4 linked regions of the Caenorhabditis elegans genome follow. The protein of the gene in region 1 purifies or fractionates together with the protein of each later gene. This does not show direct contact. Each region holds a gene or a part of one and is shown in the gene's direction. Other genes may lie near its edges.

Region 1 (4,103 bases):
AACGTCACTCTTGTTTATTTGAAGAACCTCGAGTCATCAGGACGCATGGAATAATTGAATGAAGAGATCATGAAACAAGAATAGAACAAAAATTGAAATAAGTAGAATAGTAATTTCCTGAAACAGGAAGTTTAAACTTGAAATGTTTTGAAATTAATAGTACTAGATAGGTATGAGATTAAGAACCAAATTTACAGGCCGTGACACAATTCGTAGCATGCTTTGTTTTGATAATATTGACTCATCGTATTCATAAACCCTTTACACAACCAAATTCGTATGTACAAATATGCCCCCGTAGATAACAACTAAAAACAAATTGGAGAATTACAAAATATGTAGTACGACATCCAACAAGCACTGCTAATACATGATTAAGATACATATATAATAAATTTAAAATGAAATTTAAAAAAATTGAACTAAAACTAACGGTTTTCATGACGTCACAAATATTACTAAAAATTTTATTGGAACAACTGATGGATTTTAGATGTATTGTGGCCCTAAAGAGGGCCGTTGGGTTCGGTGTAATTAGCATTGAGCATTTGATTGCTTACTTGCTGGAAGTGTACTTGGTAACGGCCTTGGTTCCCTCAGACACGGCGTGCTTGGCAAGCTCTCCTGGAAGAATCAAACGAACAGCGGTTTGAATTTCGCGGGATGAGATGGTAGAACGCTTGTTGTAGTGAGCAAGACGAGATGCTTCAGCGGCGATACGCTCGAAGACGTCATTGACGAAAGAGTTCATGATGGACATAGCCTTTGAGGAGACTCCAGTATCTGGGTGAACCTGCTTGAGGACACGGTAGATGTAGACAGAGTATGACTCCTTACGGGCATGACGTCTCTTCTTTCCGTCCTTTGGCTTGGTGACGGTCTTGGCGGCCTTCTTGGCTCCCTTTGCAGATGGCTTTGGTGGCATGATGAGAATGGACTTGTGACAAGTATAAAGAAATGGGGTTGTATAGAGATTATTATATACAAACAATGCGGTGGGAAGGCGGAGTCTCTCTGCAGGGACACATGTCTCACTTGCACCTGTACTGCCGAATGCACATAGACAATAGATGGTGTCTCCCCGATAAGACCCTCCCCCACCATCACCGCACAGAATACATAAAAAGGGGTCATTGAATACACCTCACCAGTTTACGAACAAAAACACTCAACTAGCAATGTCTGGACGTGGAAAGGGAGGCAAAGCCAAGACCGGAGGAAAGGCCAAGTCACGCTCATCAAGAGCTGGACTTCAATTCCCAGTCGGTCGTCTTCACCGTATTCTCCGTAAAGGAAACTATGCTCAACGTGTCGGAGCTGGAGCTCCAGTTTACTTGGCCGCTGTTCTTGAATACCTCGCTGCTGAGGTTCTCGAGTTGGCAGGTAACGCTGCTCGTGACAACAAGAAGACTCGTATTGCCCCAAGACATCTTCAACTTGCTGTCCGAAATGACGAGGAGCTCAACAAGCTTTTGGCTGGAGTGACTATTGCTCAAGGAGGAGTTCTTCCAAACATCCAAGCTGTTCTTCTTCCAAAGAAGACTGGAGGAGATAAGGAATAAATACTTGTCTCCAAATAATACAAACCGAACCCAACGGCCCTCTTTAGGGCCACATTTACAATAAATCCTCTAACATCTTATTAATAAACTTTTTTTCGAACATTTATTTTTTCTGGCTCGGAAAACTCATATATGCACAATATAGATTATGCATTCAATTATCTTCTTTTCACTTTTGTCAGTTTACTACCGTCATTTCACCTCCGGAACTTACTGGACCGAAATATGACGTCACTCTTCAGGTTTCATTTTCCTGTAATCTGTTCATACACACCACGCAGTTTTATTATTATATTTGCAGTATATTGTTTGATACATTATTAATAAGCTGTGCTATAAATGTTTCTAAAATATATCATGCTTATATGCATATTCATTAACCCATAGAAAATATAAAACATGACAGGAAAGGGTGGGGGATTACAGGGAATACCTATTCAAAGTTAAATAGACATACCCAAATAGCAACAGTAAAGATTGTAGTTCTTATATTGATAGTTTCAAACTGGCATCAAAGATGTTTTGTTAAAGGTCGAAGTCCGAAAAAGTAGCTCTTTTGATCTGTGAGTTATGAAGAAGTGTGCCCAATGATAAGAAATTAGAATTAAAAATTTAGTCTTTTCCACATTTTGCTCTATATTTTCATTGGCTTTTCAAAAACCATAAGATAAGAATTTTTGAAGTTTCTGCAATGTGAAAGTCACACCAGCATTGTTTCCGGTACAGAATGTGTATATAAAGAATTGAGAAATCACACTAGTATAAGTTGAAGCGATATGAAGTTGCTTATTGTTCTTCTTATTCTTGTAACCACAATAAATGCTGCCAAGAATGGAATTGATTTCATTCAACCAGTTTCAGTTGAAACATTTAAATGTATTCACAAAGATGGATATTCTTTCGTAATTCCAAGAGTATTTACTTCTGTTGGAACTCTTGATCATACTGGAATTCAAAATGTTAAACACGCTAGAGAAGGAAATAAATCATTTAAGAATACGTTTGTTAACGGTAGAAAAATTTCAGCTGGTTTAACTGACGTTGATGGATACATTTTTCCTTGTTTGGCATCTCATTGTCCATCTGCTGCAAACCAAGTTAAAGAAACTCTCGATGCTCTGAAGAGCGCTGGTACTCATGTATCCACCCTTTGGTTGGATATTGAACGTCTTGCATGGCCTGCTAATCATGCTCATAACCGTGCTTTCATTGAAGAAATGGTTAAAGAAGCCGAGGCTAGAAAACAACATGTTGGAATCTACAGTAACTACTACAACTGGCAAGATATAGTTGGATTGGATTACCATGGTCAATCTCATTTAATGCTTTGGTGGGCAACATACGATGGAATCAAGGATTTCTCAAAATTCGTAGCTTTCGGCGGATGGAAAAAACCAACAATTCATCAGTGGCATGGAACTACCAAAGGACCATGTGGAGTCAGTGTTGATTTGAATTATGTTCCATAAGTTTAATATATATTAACGAGTATATAAATCATGGAATTGATATTTTCACATTTTATTAAAATAAAAAAAACAAATTAAGAATTCATATCATTTGTGGCCCTAAAGAGGGCCGTTGGGTTCGGTGGGTTTGCAGAAAAACAGAAGATAAATGAATTATCCTCCGAATCCGTACAAAGTTCTTCCTTGACGCTTCAGAGCATAGACGACGTCCATAGCAGTTACCGTCTTTCTCTTGGCGTGCTCGCAGTAGGTGACAGCATCACGGATGACGTTCTCAAGGAACACCTTCAAGACTCCACGTGTTTCCTCGTAGATCAATCCAGAAATTCTCTTGACTCCTCCTCTTCTGGCGAGACGGCGAATTGCTGGCTTGGTGATACCTTGAATGTTATCACGGAGCACCTTGCGATGGCGCTTGGCTCCTCCTTTTCCAAGGCCTTTTCCTCCCTTTCCACGTCCGGACATTGTTGAGTGATTGAATTGAAGACTCACGAATGAGATGAAAAAATGAAGAAATGAGGCTGTCTTTTATACCAGCTGCGGTGGATGTAGGAGGGATCACATTGAACCATCCTGTTAGGACACATGGTGTACCACTCTCTCACTCTCTATCTCTTCCATTTTCTGTAGATAGGTCATTCGGTTAGAATGCAAACACTGAGATGTGTCCCTGCAGGGGAATGAATGAGGTCTCCGCCTTCTCACCCCAATATTACACTTCTTCGTATAAAAGGGGACAGACTAAAGGTTTTTTCACAGTCCCCTCGGATTTTCATCTCAAACGCAATGGCTCGTACCAAGCAAACCGCCCGCAAATCGACCGGAGGAAAGGCTCCAAGAAAGCAATTGGCCACCAAGGCTGCCCGCAAGTCGGCCCCAGCTTCAGGAGGAGTCAAGAAACCACATCGTTACCGTCCAGGAACCGTCGCTCTTCGTGAGATCAGACGTTACCAGAAGTCCACCGAGCTTCTCATCCGCAGAGCGCCATTCCAGCGCCTCGTTCGTGAGATCGCTCAGGATTTCAAGACCGATCTTCGTTTCCAGTCTTCCGCCGTCATGGCTCTTCAAGAGG
Region 2 (5,232 bases), on another chromosome or scaffold:
AATTGAGAAAAAACGAAAAATTAATTTTTACAAAAAAATTAAAAATAAAAAAAACTCGAACATTCTATGAATTTACAGCCAAAATCATGCCAGACGCAATTCTACCGGACAATGATGATGATTTGGAGATGAATGAAGAACAGGAAGAGCCTCCTAGCTCAGGAAACGTGAAAAATGAAGATTTTGAGGAAATTGAAGAAGCTGTCAAGGGCGAGGAAAAACTAAGTTTCAGATAAAGAAAAATCCGATGGAGAAGAAGGCGATGAATTCAAGTCATCAGATGACACCCCAAAGCCCATTCAAATCTCCGAAGACAACATGACAACTAAGAAATTCTCCCAGCTCGGCGTGTGCTCCTGGATCAACCAACAGCTCGAAACTATGCAAATTAAAACTGCGACGCCGGTTCAGGCGGCTTGTATTCCAAAAATTCTCGAAGGAAGCGAGGAACCGGAGCCGGTCCCGGAGCATGAAATTCTTACTGTTGTAATTAACAAGGTATACATCCCGAACACATCCAGTATACTTATACAGATTTTTTCAGACATCCAGTCAACATTTTGGATGCCATATTACAATCTCAAATGGCATCGCCAAGGTTCTTTCGGTTATTCCAGGATCGCCGGTAGATGAAGCTCTTTATGCTGGTGACATAAACTTATCGATCGATGGAATAAATATTTATAATTATGTAAGAATTAGATTTTTTAAATGTAATTTTTTGTATTTTTTTGCAGGGAGGTTTAAGAGATTTCAAGAATCGAGGAAACATCACTTTGAAGGTCCAACGCACAATTGAAAAACAATAACTTTCCTGATTTCTTTTCGTTTATGACTTCCAATTGATTGATGAAGATTATTTTTATTTCATTATTGATTCAAATTCATTTTTCAATGTAAAAAGATGGAAAAAACAGATATTCAGAAGTGAACTTGAAAAAGAGACTTTTTGCTCCCGCCTGGATGAAAAACCTTCGGGATCTTCAACATTTACCTATCTCAACTTTGGTGTTTCCTTTTCAGTTTCATTGTTATTCAGTTTGTCTTGGCTTGTACTTTGCACATATTGTCCATTCATACCGCAATTTGATAGCATCTCTTTCGATCTTTGCCTGATAAAGACTTATGCGCCTTTAGGAATGGGTAGTACGGTAGGGTTTAATTTCCGCTTTGGCTTTTTTGTTCATAAAAATTCCAATTAAATTAGAATTTTCCTATTTTTAGTTGCCGAATAAATATTAAATTTTCTTATTATTCCAAGTTTTTTGCGCGTACAATACTGCGCATTGTGTGCAGTTTCGCCGCGCGGTGTTTGCGGACATTTGAATTTTCGATTTATTTTTTTCCAGAATTTTGCGTTTTTCGATTGTTTTCCTTCAATTTTGAGGCGATTTTTTGATTTTTCGGCTTAAAATTATCACGAAATTTTGTTTCATACATTTTAAACGTTTTAATCACCTGATCTGCTCGTTTTTTTCCAATTCACCAGTGTCTATCTCCATTTCTAGGTCAATGATGCCGCTCACCGACCGTGACATCTGCCCAGAAAACAATCGGTATCCATACTGCATTGTTTGGACTCCGATTCCATGCCTGACGTAGGAAATATCTAATTTTATCCCAATAATCCAGCTAAAAATGCTGTTTCAGTTGGTTTTTCCCATTCATCGGCCACATGGGAATCGCGAATAGCCGTGGAATCATTCGAGACTTTGCTGGGAGCTATTATGTGGCGGTTTGTGCCCAAATTCAATTTATTACTTCCAAAAAGTAGAATATTTTTAGGAAGACGACATGGGATTCGGCTGGCCCACAAGATACTGGCAATTAGGCCCGGAAAAGGTGGAAGGTGGCGCGGAAGTCTTCGATAGAGCAGTTCAAGATGCTTCCGACACGTATAAAACTAGAACTGTACGGTTTTTAATCGATTTTTCCGATCAATATTTCATTTATTTCCAGCACAATCTCATCTGCGATAATTGTCACTCGCACGTGGCTCTGGCTCTCAACAAAATGCGCTACGATGAGCGCGAGGACTGGAATATGATCAATTTGGCGTGGTATTCACTGACAAAAGGAAGCTTCGTTCGTAACACGGATATGCTCGCTCAATACCTTCCATTCGTTATAATTGTCTTCATTTTCGTTGCGCTGTGGGCTTTTTTATAATTTTTGACCATGGGAATTCTACAAAATGACCTATTTCATTATGTTTTCCAGCATATTTTCATTGAAAATTAGATTTATCTAGAAACAGCATTTATTTCAGCCGAAACAGTTGAGAAAATGAACAAAAATGGACGTTTCAGCTGGAATAAATGGTAATTTCAGAGAAATCGAGGGATTTTCTATATTTTTACACTGATTTTTCGTGAATAATGCTGAAAAACATGGTTAAATAGACTATTTTGTGGAATAATTTGATCTCATGTAAAATATAGTCCAACTGTTAAATATTTCGTGTGATATATTATGTAAAATGTATTTTTTTTCTGTAATTTTCATATATATTTTTTTCAAGTTTTCTTGATGTTTAACCGGTTTGCAGCCGACTTTTTGTCTATCTTCTATGTTTTTTTGTTATTTTTTACATTGAAAACCCCCTAATTCCAGCGAAAAATGGTCCGTCTCACGACTGAGCTGTTCGCCGAGCGTCCACAATTCGTCAATTCGGTCAATATGCGGGAGATCAACTTGCGCGGCCAAAAAATCCCCGTAATCGAGAATATGGGAGTGACGAGGGATCAATTCGATGTCATCGATCTGACTGACAACGATATCAGGAAATTGGACAATTTTCCGACGTTTTCTCGTTTGAATACGCTGTATCTTCATAATAATCGAATCAAGTGCGTAGTTTTCCGAAAAACGAGCGAAAAGTGGCTAAATTTAGCTAAAAATATAGAATTTTGCACCATATTTTGCTGGAAAAGCCCAAATTTTAGCTAAAAATTCCAATTTTGCCAATTTATCCGTGTTTTAGTGCTTTTCCAGTCGATTTGTACCCAACTTTGGTTATTTTCGACTGAAAAGTACCGAAAAATGGGGTTTCCTGGCAGAATTCGGTGATTTCAGCTTGAAATAGGGTTTTAAAAAATTTTAAACCGGAAAATTCTGACAAACTTCCCTAAATTGAATTTAAAAAATTGAAAAAAAAACGTTTCTTTGCTCTGAAATTTCATGAAATTTCCAAATTTTTTTTTCGGCAAGTTGGCGAAAAATTCAGATTTAGCCGGATTTCGCTATTTTTTCCAAAAAAAAAAAACGAAAAAATCAGTTTTTTATGAAAGAACATAGGAAAAATATAATTTTTTTCCTGAAAAAGTTCGAAAAATTTTAAGCCATTTTTCGAAAAATCGAAGTTTTTTTCGGAAAGTAGGGGAAAAAATCGATTTTTCAGAAAATATCCTAAAATTTTGGTCATTTTCAAATTTTTAAAATACTTTCTCTAATTTATTCTTCAAAAATTTAAATTTTATGGTTACTATTTCCTGAAAAAAAATTAAAAACCCTCCATTTTTCATTGCAAAACTGCTTTTTTCCCACATTTTCGAGCTCCATTCCCACCAATTTACCCCATATTTTCAGCTATATCGCACCCGACATTGCCACAAAACTTCCAAATCTCAAAACTCTTGCACTGACCAACAACAACATTTGCGAGCTCGGAGACATTGAGCCACTGGCAGAATGCAAGAAGCTCGAGTACGTGACATTTATCGGAAATCCGATAACTCACAAGGACAATTATCGGATGTATATGATCTACAAGCTGCCGACGGTTCGAGTGATTGACTTCAATCGAGTCAGACTGACAGAACGTGAAGCTGCGAAGAAGATGTTCAAAGGAAAAAGTGGAAAGAAGGCGAGAGATGCGATTCAGAAGAGTGTTCATACAGAAGATCCATCAGAAATTGAACCAAATGAGAATAGTTCGGGTGGAGGTGCTCGGCTTACTGATGAAGATCGGGAGAAGATCAAGGAAGCGATCAAGAATGCCAAGTCACTCAGTGAAGTCAACTATCTTCAGTCGATTCTGGCATCGGGAAAGGTTCCGGAAAAGGGATGGAATCGTCAGATGGATCAGAATGGTGCCGATGGGGAAGCGATGGAGTCTTGAAAAATCTTGAAAATTGCAGAATGTGCTGCTAAAATTTATTTATTTATTTTATTTGATTTTTTTAATGTTAAAATGATACTCCTTGTTTTATTTATATTCTCATTTTTTTCCAATTTTTTCCCAGTCTGTCTTCCCTTTTTTTGTAATTTTTATATACCATAAAACAATATTTCCCCTATTATTTTTGATATTTTTATCGATTTTTCAAAGGTTCCCCGTGCCTTTTTATATTTGATTTTTTGAAATTTTTGCAACAAAAAGTTAGAAAAAAATCCTTTTTCAGCCATTTTTGTGTTTTCCGGCTATTTTTTATTATTTTATTAATTTTGAGAGGTTCCCACTGGGAACTTCCCAGCGCCTTCAAATATCTATTTGGAAAAAAAAGGTTTAAAAATTGGAAAAAACGCGGATTTTTTTTTGAATTCTCGCCTAAAATAATCCATTTTTTGTGTTTTTTTGTCATTTTTCCGCAAAAAAAAAACTTCAAAACCCTTAAAAAAATGCGTTAAAACTCTAAAATTACCCTAAAAATCGATAATTTTAGACTTTTTTTTTCACAAAAACTATCGATTTTTGGCTAATTTTAGAGTTTTCAACTTTTTTTGCTGAAAAATGACTGAAAATGTGACAATGAAAAACCGATAAAAAAAGCCGGAAAATACAAAAATGTAGAAAATCGGTGAGAAATTCAAAAATAAATCGGCTTTCACTAGTTTTTTTGCAAAATATTTTGAAAAATCTTTTTTTTTCAATTATAAAAATTTTTTTTGGTCAGTTTTGGCAAAAAAAACCAAAAAAAAACTGGCTCTCTACCATTAAAACAATTATTTTCAAAAAATCCACAACTTCCAGATGTCGGCCGCTCAAACCGCCGCCGCCACTCCAGCCGAGCAAGAAGAGCAACGAAAAGTCGTCGAAAAGTTCAAGGCTCTACGTGATCAACAACAGGATATCGCCGCCGAAGTGACTCGAATCGAAGAGGAACGACGTGAATTTGGACGTGTTCTCGAAGTGATCAAGGATCTTGAACCGGATCAGAAATGCTTCCGTTTGATTAGTGATACACTTGTCGAGTATACTGTCAAGGATGTTATTCCGGATTTGCAGAATAA
Region 3 (5,861 bases), on another chromosome or scaffold:
ATTTTCGGCAAGTTGTCAAATTGCCGGAATTATAAATTTCCGGCAAACCAGCAAATTGCCGGAATTGGAAAGTTCCCTGCAAATCGGCAAATTGTCGGAATTAAAGATTTCCGGCAATTTGCCCAACGGCTATTGGCGCACACTTAATATTCTTGTAAAAATAGGAAAAATGGCAAAAATTTCCGAATTTTTTGAAAATCGAAACACAAAAAACCGCACACTGAAAAATATTAAACAATTTTTTTTTTCAAATCCCCATAAAATTTCTTTTTTTTAGAGGCAAAATTTAAAAAAAAATTCCGAATTTTTTCAAAAAATCGTAATTTTTGTTGCAGATGCGATGAGCCAACGTGTGAATTCAAAACTCGCGTACAAACGATGAAATGGTGTCGAGAAGGACTCGAATGTATTCGATGCTCAACTGGTGTGCTCCGTCGTGAATACACTTCAAAACAGCTTTTCGATCAGCAAATGTTCTTTCGAACAATTCTCGATGTCGACGCGGCTGTACGAAAGTTGAGCGACGCCCAGAAAAGTTCGTGTTTGCGAAATTTTATTGGAAAAAAATGGGAAAAATCCCTAGAAAATGGGAAATTTCGGCGAAATTCAGCCAAGAATCGTGAGAATTAGCGGAAAATCTCGAAAATAATGGAAACAAACCGAATTAGGAGAACATTTTTAACTATTTTTGCGTTAAAATCATTCAAAATTCGATTTAAAAAATGTGATTTTCTTTCAATTTTTTTTTTGGAAATCGGACTTTTAATGTAAACTTTTGGTGAATAATTGTAATTTCAAAAAAAAAAACGCAGAGTTCGGAGAAAAAGTTTACTTAAAAAATTTTATTTTCTATTTCAGCAGCTATTCAGCATTTTTTTTTTTCAAAAAAAAAATTACGGAGATAAAATTATTCGGCTTTTATAATTTTATTACTCAATCCCGAAATTTCACGATTTTTGCGCCCGGGTCTCGACACGACAAATTGTTGTTGAATGCGAAAAGGTGTGCGCCTTTAAAGAGTACTGTAGTTTCAAACGGAATTTTTTATCGATTTTGCGCATAGATTTTCACACGATTTGTTAAAATTTAAGCGGTTTATTTCAGTTTTTCTAATAAAAAGCATATTTTTTAACGAAAAACTGAAAAAAATTGGATGAAATTTGAGAAATTTTCATCCATTTTTTTCAGTTTTTCGTTAAACAAAAAAACTGAAATAAACCGCTTAAGTTTTAACAAATCGTGTGAAATTCTATGCGCAAAATCGATTAAAAAAATCCGTTTGAAACTACAGTACTCTTTAAAGGCGCACACTTTTTCGCATTCAACAACAATTTGTCGTATCGAGACCCGGTACCGTATTCTTTGAAAAGCTTGGCTCAAATAATTTTAAATCCGTAATTTTTTTTCAGTAAATTTTTTCTCCGATTTCTGAGTTTTTTTTTTCGTTGAAAATTACAATTTTTCACTAAAAATTAGCATTAAAAGTTCGATTTCCAGGAAATTTTGTACAATTTTTTCTTCAAAAAAGTTTTTTTTTTCCAGAAGCCGCCAAAGTCCGTGTCGAATATAATGGGTGCAAAATCGATTCAATGATGTTGGCTGATCGAATCAATGAGAAATATTTGGAGAAAAATGCCTATAATCGAGTGGATCTTTCATATATTTTTGCGCCAATGATGAAAATTCAATGAATTTATTTTCTTTTTTTTTTGAAAATTTCCCCCCAGTTTTGCGATTTTCCCGTCTTTTTTATGTCGAAATTTCTAATTTCCTAATTTTTTTCACAAGTCATTTCCTCCTCCTCCATTTTTCCATTTTCTCCTAATTTTCAGTGAAAAATTCTTTATTTTTCCCCAAAAAAATATTCCCGAAAATACTCAAATCATATCTGATAAACAATCGAATCCTGTGTTAATTCTCCCTTTTTTCACTGAATTTTTGGAGTTTTTCCATCTCTGAAAAAATTATTTCAATTTATTATAGTATTTGTGTCGACTTACGGGGAGAATTTGAACATTTTCGCTATTTTCAAATTTTCTATGCAAAGTAATTTATTTTATTGTAAAATTAAAATTTTTGAGCAAAAAATAACACTTCTCCTCGAGGAGTACACGAAGGCTGCTGCGTAAATCGACACAGGGGTTGTCGATTTACGAGGGATAATGTTTCGGAAACTGAAATTTTAGCCAAAAAAAAAGTCGAGATTTTGCAAAAAAATTGAACTCAAACTTGTCCACGTGTAGTTCAAAATCCGTCGTAAATCGACACATGCATAAAAACCGTGTGTCTATTTACGCAGCTGGTGTACTCCTCGAGGAGAAGTTTTTTTTTTTTAATTTTTCAGTCACGAGCTCCGTAAATCGACAAAATATGATATTTTTTTCTCGAAAAATTTGAAAAAAAAAACTTTCGAAATTTTCAAAACTTGAAAAATGTCAAATTTCAAAGTTTTTGAGAACAAAAATATTTTAATAAATATTTTTAAATTCAAAAAAAATTAATTTTTCGATTTTTTCAGTCAAAATTTGAATTTTTTTTCGAGAAAAGTTTGAAAAAAATCAATTTTTTTCCAGATGGACGAAACCCGCTTCGAGGATGACGATTTCGAGGGTTCAACGGCCAATAAAAAGTACACATTCTTCATAATTGACGGAAATCCGGCAATGTTCGAAACGTCGAAAGCCGGTGAGCCGCCAGAGTTCAAGCTTGCTCTGAAGCTCATTCTCGACGAAATAGTCCGTGTTTGCTGCTCGCGGAGCCTTAACAATCATATCGGAGTGATTGTCACTAGTACTGTACGAGTTTTTTCTGAAGAATTTCTGAAAATTTAATAATTTTTTAATTACAGAAAAACTCGGAGACCGAGGGACTCGAAAATAGCACTCTGCTTGTGCCGATGGGTGTTCTTGGACAGGAAGAAGTGAATAAGATTAAGGAAATTGCGGAGGAAGGTGCGGAAATCGCGGACAATTTCTGACATTTTCGTGGTTTTTTTTCTCGGCATTCGTCGTCTTTTGGCGACTTGGCACAATTTTCGCAGTGAATTAGGCAAACTTCTAATTTTTCAAAATCTCGACAAATTGGCAATTTCCAGTTAAATTTCGAGTAAAATCTACAATTTCAGAATATTATACGCAATCTGGCAATTTTTTGGCAAAAAATTGATTGTTCTTTTGACTTTTGGCAGAATTTCGGTAGATCACCACTTTTTTGAAAATTCGAACGATTTTTTTCCGGCAAATAGACAAATTGTCGGAATTGAAAATTTCTGGCAAATTGCCAAATTGCCGGACATGACAATTTCTGGCAAATTGCCAGAATTAAAAGTTTCTGGCAAATTGCCAGAATTGATTGAAAATTTACGGCAAATTGCCAAATTGCCGGAATTGAAAGTTTCCGGCAAACCGGCAAGTTGCCGGAAACTTTCATTTTTGGCAATTCGGCAACTTGCTGGAAATTAAATTTTCCGGCAATTCGGCAAACCGGCAAATTGTTGGAAATTAAAGTTTCCGGCAAATCGGCAAAATGCCGGAATTGAAAATTTCCGGCAAACCGGAAAATTGTCGGAAATTAAAGTTTCCGTCAACTCGGCAATCCGGCAAGTTGCCAGAAATGAAAATATCCGTCAATTCGGCAAACCGGCAACTTGCTAGAAATCAAAATTTCCGGCAAATTGCTGAAAATGAAATTTTCCGGCAAATCGGCAAGTTGCTAGAAATTAAAATTTGCGGCAATTCGGCAAACCGGCAAGTTGCCGGAAACGAAAATTTCCGTCACGGCAAACCGGCAAATTGCCAGAATTGAAAATTTACGGCAAAACTGCAAACCGGCAAGTTGCCAGAAATGAAAATTTCCGTCAATTCGGCAAACCGGCAAATTGCCAGAAATGAAAGTTCTCGTCAAAACGGCAAACCGGCAAGTTCCCATAAATGAAAATATACGGTAATTCGGTAAATCGGCAAATTGTCGGAATTTAGTTTCCGGTAAATCTGCAACTTGCCGGAATAAAAAATTTCCGGCAACAATTCGGCAAACCGGCACATTGTCGGAAATTAAAGTTTCCGGCAAACCGGCATTTCCGACAATTTGCCGAATTTGCCAAACGGCAATTGCCGTCCACCACTGCTTTCGACAAAACAATTTCCGGTATTTTTTTTTCAAGAAATTGGCAATTTTCGACGCCAGAACTTAGCTTTTCATAAAGAGCGGCCTGAAATCGTGTAGGCCACGCCGCCTAGAAAATTGGCAAAACAATATTTCATAATAACCTAATTTATTTTCAAAAAAAAAAAAGGTTTTTTTGTGAGATCTCTTCAATTTTCAATTTCTCATCCATCACCACCACCACCACCACCTCAATTCGGTTTCCTCATTCCGGCCTTTATCTCCCGCATCAATTCATCTTGCCACATGGAATGAGTCTCCTCAATTGTCTGAATACTTATCGCCAACTCACGCATCCGATCACAAGCCACCTCAAACTCACGAGTGGCATCATCAAACCGAGTCCGATTGACGTCAGTGTCGTTGCTGGCGTACTTGTTCGCAGCACTATCCATATCGAGACGTGTCTTATTCAAATTGGCAATTGTATTTGTGTGAAGCTTACTCTCGTTCTGTGTGAACGCCTTGTACCGCTCACAAATCGCCAGCACCTTATCCATCGACTCGACTTCTGCCTCCATCCGCGTGTCGACACAATTGATGAACGGTTGCACGTTGATACGATCTCCGAGCAGAGCATAGTTCTCCAGTGGGCCTGAAAAGTTGGCTTTCACTTGCCAATTTGCCACGTCGTTCAGATTTGCCATGTGCTTGTAGAGATCCTGGACGCGGGGCTTCAGAGATTTGAAGTAGATCAACGCCTCGTCGATTTCGGCGGGAAGCACTGTCGCCTTGCTTCTGCCCGTCTTTTCTTTCACTTTTTGCTTTAGTCGACTGAACATTGTTGAACAACTCACGCACACACCACCGAGTCGAAATTTAGGAATAAATTGAATTTTGAATTTTGTCCGCGGCGTTTTTTTTTTTTGCTGTTGGAATTTTGAAATTTCCAACGTGGAATTTTGGGATTTTCACGGAAAAAAATTTGATATTTGAGTTTTGTTCAAGTTTGAAAAAGTTAGAAAAGTTTCAATTCCGGCGATTTGCCGGTTTATCGGAAATTTGCAATTCCGGCAATTTGCCGGTTTTGTCGATATGCCGGAAATTTTCATTTCCGCCAATTTGCCGATTTGCCGGAAATTTTCTACTCCGGCAATTTGCCGGAAATGTTCAATTCCGCCCATTTGCCGGTTTGCCGGAAGTTTTTAATTCTGGCAATTTGCTGGTTTTCCGTAAATTTTCCGATTTGCCGGAAATTTTCTATTCCGGCAATTCGCTGGTTTGCCAAAAATTTTCAATTCCGCCAATTTGCCGATTTGCCGGAAGTTTTCAATTCCGACAATTTTCCGATTTGGCTGTAGATTCCATTTCGGCAATTTGCCGGTTTGCCGAAACTTTCAGTTCCGGCAATTTGCCGATTTGCCGGAAATTTTCTACTCCGGCAATTTGCCGGAAATGTTCAATTCCGGCAATTTGCCGGTTTGCCGGCAGTTTTCAATTCCGGAAATTTGCCGATTTATCGGAATTTTTAATTCCGCCCATTTGCCGGTTTGCCGGAAGTTTTTAATTCCGGCAAGTTGCCGAATTGCCGGAAAGAAATCGTTTGCCGCCCACGCCTGCAGTAGATTTCGAAATTTTCGGCAAGTTTATGCAACCGACGTTATTTTGGTTTTACCGGAAATTTGATATATTTGCAAAGTCACTAGACATATGCGATTCTCAGTGAAGGCTTTCCGACCAATAAGCGATCCGAGGTG
Region 4 (6,882 bases), on another chromosome or scaffold:
CACGACACGAACGAACCACTAGGGCTAGATTATACATATTACCTTTTACAAAATTTCACAATTTCTAAAGAAAATCGAAAAATCTTGCCTAAAAATATCTTAGTTACAGAGCACCGGCCGGCTGGAATACCACAACTTCTGCCGTCTCAAACAATCCGTTTGGAGCAACGTCGGCTCCTCAGCCAATGTATACGGCTCCAATGGGAATGTATCAACAACCATTTGGTGCTCAGCCAATGTGGAATCCTGCGATGGGTTAGTTTATCGAAAAAACGAGGAATTTTTTTAAAATTAGAATCTCGGAACAATTGAATTTTTATCTAATTTTTCACAATATTTCAAGATTATTTTAAATGTGAAAATCGATTTTGAAGCATTTTTTGTTAATTTTTGCTTCATTTTCGAAATATGCTCATACACCTATTTTATACTAAAATATAAAATTTAAACCTCTGGAAAAAATTCAGTTTTATTTAAAATCGAAAAATCGGTGGAACATTTCATATTCCAGCAATTTTTGGATAAGCGGAAAAATAATTTTGGACAAAAAATAGCAAAACATTTTTGGGTTGGATTTCGGGCCAAAAAACCAACAAAAAAAATTTATACTTAAATTTATTAAAAAACCGCGAGAAAGTGAGCAGTTTTTGGTTTATTTTTTGGTCTAAATAATACCAAACAAAAACAAAAAAGCCCCACGCCTAGAATAGGAATTCAACCATTTTGTGGGCGTGTCTGGCACTATATTTCGGTAGATTTTCAAAATCTTATTTTTTTTGCAGCAGCATACGGTCAACAATATGGATACGGACAACCTGTTCCACCACAACAGCAACACCAAATTCAATTGGTTCATGCAGCGATGGCTGCAAAGAACGCTGCACAAGCTCAACAGGCCCAGGCCGCCTCAGCCGATCCATTTGGATTATAGTCTAGTCGTCTATTTCTCTCTATCTCTCTCGTAACATTCCCTGATTTATTTTTTTTTAATGTAAAAACAAAATGATAGCCTATTTCTATTTCTTGATATCCCCCAAGATTCTCCAATTTTAGAATTTCCAGTAGATTGTGCAAAACTAATCAAATAGCGAAATCCAGGTGCCACTCCAATTTGAAATCACTTAGTATTCCTTTTTAACCTTTTTTTTTCAAAATTTTTGAATAGTCAAAGTATATTGCAATCAAATGTGTCGTTTTTTTGCATTGAAAAATTCGGAAAAATCGATTTTTTTTCTCGATTTTTCAATTACCCCAAAATACCGAAAAATCAGAATTTTTCGACGTCACCCTTGATTAGAATATATATTCCAGTAAATTGCCTTTTTCTTCGGTCGAATTGTCATAATTTTTCATGCTCTCTAGATACAATGTACCCCCCAAAATTCTTCAGATTCGGCCAAATTTTCGTCAGATCAGTGATGTTTTCCCCCTATCTCTATCTCTGCGTCTTCCAGTCTCTAGCGGCATTTTTTGTTTCATTCTTTCCACCCAAAAATTTATTTTGCAAAACGCACGCTTCTGTGTCCTATTTAATTATTTGAATTTTATATATTTATTTATTGACTCCCCCTCCCCCCCCCGGCTCTCCCATTTTAAGCGCTCGTGTTTCATAGCAATAAATTAAATTATTTTCCATCCTTCCTTTTTTTAGATTTTGAAATTTTGCAACTTTATCTCTATTGCCAAGAAGCGATGATAGATTGATTTTTCAATTGATGCAATAAATATTCGTAGATTCCTCGATTCACGTCATACTTTTTTGTTGTAAAATCTACCGCCAGACACGCCCACAAAATGGTTCATAGCCCCGCCTATTTTAGGGGCGGGGTCTTTGTTGTACGGTTTTTTGTACAAAAATTGTAGGAAAATGAAATTTTGCACCGGTTTTTTGGATTCTAAAACTGTCAAGAAAACTATTGAATTTCTTGTTTTTCCGCCAATACCTAATGAGACCCTGCGTTTGGTGGCGGGGCTTCGACTTGTGACTCAAAAATAGGGAAAATATATTCTTATTCTTCTCACTAACCGCTTATAACCTAAAAATAAAAAGATTTTTCTAATTTTTCAGGGCAACTGAGCGACAAAAATGTCTGGAAAAGTGGTATGTTCTTCGAAATTTGAATATTGCGTGATTCACGACTATGTGCCTTTAGAATTGAATTTTTTCAGGTTAGACCATCCGCAGCACTGCTGGAAGTCTTTAAATCATGGCAAGGCGGTGCGATTCGAGTTCAGCGAAACGAGAAGCTGAAAACAAGACTTGACGTAATTCTGGACCGCCCGGAAAAGAATAATTGTTTGTCTGGAGAAATGATGAAGCAGTTTGGAGAGCACACTGAGGCAAGTTTTTGAATTTGCGCGTGAAATTTGATGCATTAGAGGTAGAGACCGAGCAAAACAGTGTGCGCCTTTAAGAAGTGCAGCAACCGATTTCTCCAGCACTTTTTAATACTAAATGCTTGAGTATATTACTGGAACACAAAATTCCGAGAATGCGTATTGTACAACATATTTGACGCGCAAAATATCTCATAACGAAAACTACAGTAATTCTTCAAATGCACGTGGTGTCAGGCTGTCTCATAACTGTTTGATCTACAAGAAAAGTGGGAATTTTTTACCCCAAAAAATGTGACGTCAGCACGTTCTTAACCACTAGTTGAGAAGTCTGCATCTAAATTCTCGAAATTTTCGAGATCTACGTAGATCAAACCGAAATGGGACACTCTCACACCACGTGTAAATGACATGACTACTGTAGGGCTTGTGTCGATTTACGAGCTCTTTTTACAAAATGAATTTAAATTATTTATTTATCGATTGAATAATAAATTTGAGAAAAAACTAGCAAATATTACGAGGAAACAGATGAGAATGGAATATCGATGTCTTAAAGAAATTCATTTCGAAAATCAAGTCCGTAAATCGACACAATGGCAGCAGTAGTCATTTAAAGAATTACTGTAGTTTTCGCTAAGAGATATGTTGCGCAATGCGCATTCTCAGAATTTTGTGTTCCCGTAATAGAAAAAATTTGAAACAATATGGTAAATTATTATCACGGAATTCTGGCTTCCCTCATAAATCGAAATGGCAGAGTTTGCCGAACTAGGCCATTTTGGGTCGAAGAGATTTTATGTAGATTTACGGCGCGTTGCGTGTCGCGTCGCGGCTCGTTTTTAGTTGTAAAATTGATGTATTTGCCCGTGTGGAGTACACGGCACTTTTCCACACGTTGTCCGGCAGGCGATTGTCAATGGAGCGCGAAAATTCAATGATAAAGGCCAGAACCCCGTGATTACTGTACTAATTTAATTGTCACGCATGTTTTTACGCAGGCTGAACTTGAAATTATTGTGATACCGGTTACTGTAGTTTTGCGCGAAGACCTTAAGAATCTCAGAATCAGAATCAATCTACACAGTATTTTTCAAATCATTTATTCGAATTTCTACTGATTTATGAGAGAAAAATTCTTGGGCAGATTCTCGATCGTCTTGTTATTGAACTTGTACACTTTTCTATCGAATGGACAACGGATCATCTTGTTTTGGATAATATTTCCAGCGCATTCGGTGCAAATTGTGTGGCCACACGCTGAATATGATAAGAATAATATCATTATTTTATGAGTTGCATTGGCAGACTTACGCAGAACACGAGGCACGGTCATTCCAGAATCCCCATATTGTACTGCACAAATCTCACATTCAATCGGAAGAGTTTTGAGATCGGAAATCGCCTTTTTCAGGAAGTCCGTCACACGTTTTTCCTTCTCAAGAGCCTCCTTCGTTTCCACAAAACAATCCACCATATCATCCAGCTGCACCTTCAACTTTTCGTTCTCCGATTGCAGACGCTTCACTTTCTTCATCAACTGTTGCTCTTCCCAAGGAACTTTTTTCACTGGCACCGCATCGTGTCCTACTTGCTCTGCAATCCTCTTGCTTCTGCAATCCTCTTGCTTCATTTTTTTGAAAAATCTGATTCCGTTTTAACATCACGTATTTACACGGCTTTACACGGCCTCTCTCAATTTCATTTATTTAAAAATTCCTTTTTTTTTAATTTTACACGCTCTCACGGGAAGATCAAAAATTATTAAATTTAAATTACACAATTATATTGGAATATTCGAAGGTACAACTATTACTGGAACAAAAACTTTCGAGAATGCGTATTGCGCGACATATTTGACGCCTACTGTATTTAGCGCATGTGTAGATTTACGGGCTTGATTTTCGAAACGAATCGAAATAATTTATTTATTGAAAGAATATATTGGAACGAAGGAAAATGGAATATCGCTGTCGCTACTCGGAAAAAAATTCATTTCGAAAATCAGCCCCGTAAATCGACACAAGCGCTATTTACAGTAGGCAAATAAATTTTCGCTAAATTTTATAAATTTTCACAATATAGTGGGTTACTGTACTTTAAAACACACATGTTTTTGCGCAGTCGTATTTGAAATTATTTTTTTCGTTGCGAGACCGTAGTAAAAATGCCTGAAATATCACTTTTCAGCTATTTTCCGATGATCAAAACGCAATTATCGTTGTTTCGGGAGTTGGAAAATCGTTCTGCTCGGGTGCTGATTTGGGTCTTATCAAAGATGTAATGAAATTCCAATTTTTAAATTCCAACTTTCAAATGTTTAAATTTCAGATTTCGGACCAAAAGCTTGGCGTCCAAATGTTCGAGTACATGTCATCAATTCTTTCACTTCTCCACTCATCACCAGCTATTTCAATTGCGAAAATCCATGGCCACGCACTCGGCGGAGCCACCGAAATTTGCTCGTCGACCGACATTCGAATTGCTCATTCTGGCTCGAAAATCGCATTTTTTCAATCGAAAATGGGAATTGTTCCGTCGTGGGGAGGTGCCGAATATATGGAGGGAATTATGGGTAGAGGACGAGCATTAGCTGCAATGGGACGGGCAAATGTTATGTCAGCTGAGGAAGCAAAGGATCAAGGATATGTGGATTATGTGTACAAAAGTGAAGATGAAGCTGAGGTACGGAACTGTGACGTCATTTGTCGCCTAGAAATCCCATAAAATCGAGGTGCATTCGCGCTCCACTGGCAAATGAAAAGGCTCCGCCTCTAAACGTTGGGTCTCGTTAGGTATTCGAACATTTTCAATTATTCTCGTCTTTTCTTAAAATTAATTTCCGTTTCTTCCATTATTATGAAAAACATGTTTAAAACGGAAAAAGTATGCAAGAAAAAAGTCAATACCTAACGAGACCCAACGTTTGGGGGCGGAGCATTTTTACCTCGCCGTGGAGCGCCATTGCTATAATACATTGAAATATGTTTTCAGAACTTCATCAACCAAGTGGCTAGCGCTGGTTTGAAAGTGACAAGAGCCCAGAAAGCTATGCTGAACGCTGTAAAAATAGGAAAAACGGAGCAAAAACAAGTGCTGGAAGCCGTCTGGAACGGGGAAACTCATCGAAATGCACTTCAGAAACAACTCGAAGCGGTCGTCAAGAAATAATTTTGCTTTTTTTTGAAAGAATTTTGTATTGTATTTTAAACTATTTTTAGAGAAATGAACAATTCTGAATCCAAATATTTATTTCTCCAATACTATTAAACTTGAAAAAAAGTCTAGATGAAAATTAACAAATCTGTGAACTTTGGCATTTGTAGCGATCTCTATGACTGAGATCGTGACGAGACCCACTCAAAAAATCCCATGTGCTTTTGAAATTGCCAATTTTTAGCAAAATTACGATATTTCGGGAGCACAAAAATCTGAGAATGTGTATTGCGTAAAATATCTCGTAGCGAAAACTACAGTAAGTCTTTGAATGACTACTGTAGGGCTTGTGTCGATTTACGGGCTCGATTTTCGATATTAAATAATTTATTTTCCCTAGATTTTCTCAAATTTTTTTTCTCAAATTTGTTATTCAGTCGATAAATATAGAGCTCGTGAATCGACACAAGCGCTACAGTAATCATTCAAAGAATTACTGTAGTTTTCGCTACGAGATATTTTGCACGTCAAATATGTTGTGCAGTACGCATTTTCAGAATTTTTTGTTCCCATAATATCTATATTTTTCTCAATAACGTTGTTCAAATATCCTACTCAATGTAAATGTTTTTCATTCAATTTGATTCCATTCTCGACTTAACGACTCTTAACCCATTTCTTTTCGTCTTCAGAACCCTATTTACAAATTTGATTGCTTTAGGAGATATTTTTGTAAAACAGATATAGAAAAAAGTGACGTAAGAATTTGTTTAATGTTTTTTCGCGGCGCAATCTAGAATCTTCATCCAAGCTTCATCGAAAGTTTCCCAAAGTTCAAAACTTTAAAGAAAAATAAGTGGACTGCAGGCTTCTTCAATTTAGACAATTAAATATTTTCCCTTCAAGACGAATTACTTTCTCGAAATTTTCTACCAATAATCCATGCCAGACAGGCGCGAAAAATGGACCGGTATCGCTGCTGTTGCATTTAGAGGCGAACATCATCATGCCGAAAGTCGAATTTATCCCTCTCTTTTCTCTGTCTCCCTTTCTTATTCCCCTCACAGCTTTCACCCTCATCTGATGACACAACCGCAGAAGAAAGACCGGTATCCGCCTCTCCGATGACGCACGCGGACAGCGGAGATCGTCTTCTGACTGCAGCAAATCGACTGCTTGATTTCTTATATTTATTTCGTCTTGATCTATTATTTTGATCTACTCCTGTTGGTTTTGTCTTGTCTTCGGCGGTCAAATTTGGGTTTCGTGAGCGAACCACAAGATGTTTTAAAGTTTCCTCGTATTTCTTTTCTGTGATTTTCAATTTTTTTTTTCGAAATTTCAGAGCGTGTTCACATTTAAAGCAGTTGTAAAATGAAAACAAAAGTT

What was found.
Region 2: the proteins of lys-10 (region 1) and mog-2 fractionate together in Caenorhabditis elegans (co-fractionation; one large-scale study listed by BioGRID). This does not show direct contact.
Region 3: the proteins of lys-10 (region 1) and cku-70 fractionate together in Caenorhabditis elegans (co-fractionation; one large-scale study listed by BioGRID). This does not show direct contact.
Region 4: the proteins of lys-10 (region 1) and C32E8.9 fractionate together in Caenorhabditis elegans (co-fractionation; one large-scale study listed by BioGRID). This does not show direct contact.

What each region holds. Positions count from the first base shown.
Region 1 is NC_003282.8:8,330,488-8,334,590, forward strand, and holds lys-10 (LYSozyme), read left to right. Parts: upstream 1-2,338; coding exon 2,339-3,031; downstream 3,032-4,103. Other genes in the region: his-29 (Histone H2B 1), read right to left, coding at 557-925; his-30 (Histone H2A), read left to right, coding at 1,179-1,562; his-31 (Histone H4), read right to left, coding at 3,185-3,496; his-32 (Histone H3), read left to right, coding at 3,818-4,103.
Region 2 is NC_003280.10:4,321,748-4,326,979, forward strand, and holds mog-2 (putative U2 small nuclear ribonucleoprotein A'), read left to right. Parts: upstream 1-2,613; 5' UTR 2,614-2,619; coding exon 2,620-2,849; intron 2,850-3,588; coding exon 3,589-4,120; 3' UTR 4,121-4,295; downstream 4,296-5,232. Other genes in the region: Y52E8A.1 (RNA helicase), read left to right, coding at 319-498, 545-691, 738-809; H20J04.6 (Transmembrane protein 222), read left to right, coding at 1,513-1,598, 1,651-1,735, 1,786-1,911, 1,960-2,169; pfd-2 (Prefoldin subunit 2), read left to right, coding at 4,973-5,232. UniProt on the Caenorhabditis elegans protein: This protein is associated with sn-RNP U2. It helps the A' protein to bind stem loop IV of U2 snRNA. Required maternally for early embryonic development and zygotically for germline and somatic development. Has a role in the switch from mitosis to meiosis.
Region 3 is NC_003281.10:11,152,254-11,158,114, forward strand, and holds the start of cku-70 (Ku domain-containing protein), read left to right. Parts: upstream 1-2,573; coding exon 2,574-2,795; intron 2,796-2,848; coding exon 2,849-2,951; intron 2,952-4,355; coding exon of another isoform or gene 4,356-4,946; intron 4,947-5,861. Other genes in the region: pola-1 (DNA polymerase), read left to right, coding at 336-535, 1,543-1,691; Y47D3A.31 (BAR domain-containing protein), read right to left, coding at 4,356-4,946.
Region 4 is NC_003279.8:3,793,254-3,800,135, reverse strand, and holds C32E8.9 (Ethylmalonyl-CoA decarboxylase), read left to right. Parts: upstream 1-2,067; 5' UTR 2,068-2,086; coding exon 2,087-2,101; intron 2,102-2,169; coding exon 2,170-2,340; intron 2,341-3,421; exon of another isoform or gene 3,422-3,451; coding exon of another isoform or gene 3,452-3,597; intron 3,598-3,651; coding exon of another isoform or gene 3,652-3,970; exon of another isoform or gene 3,971-3,977; intron 3,978-4,527; coding exon 4,528-4,617; intron 4,618-4,668; coding exon 4,669-5,022; intron 5,023-5,331; coding exon 5,332-5,508; 3' UTR 5,509-5,580; downstream 5,581-6,882. Other genes in the region: Phosphatidylinositol-binding clathrin assembly protein unc-11, read left to right, coding at 104-255, 783-931; C32E8.1 (RING-type domain-containing protein), read right to left, coding at 3,452-3,597, 3,652-3,970.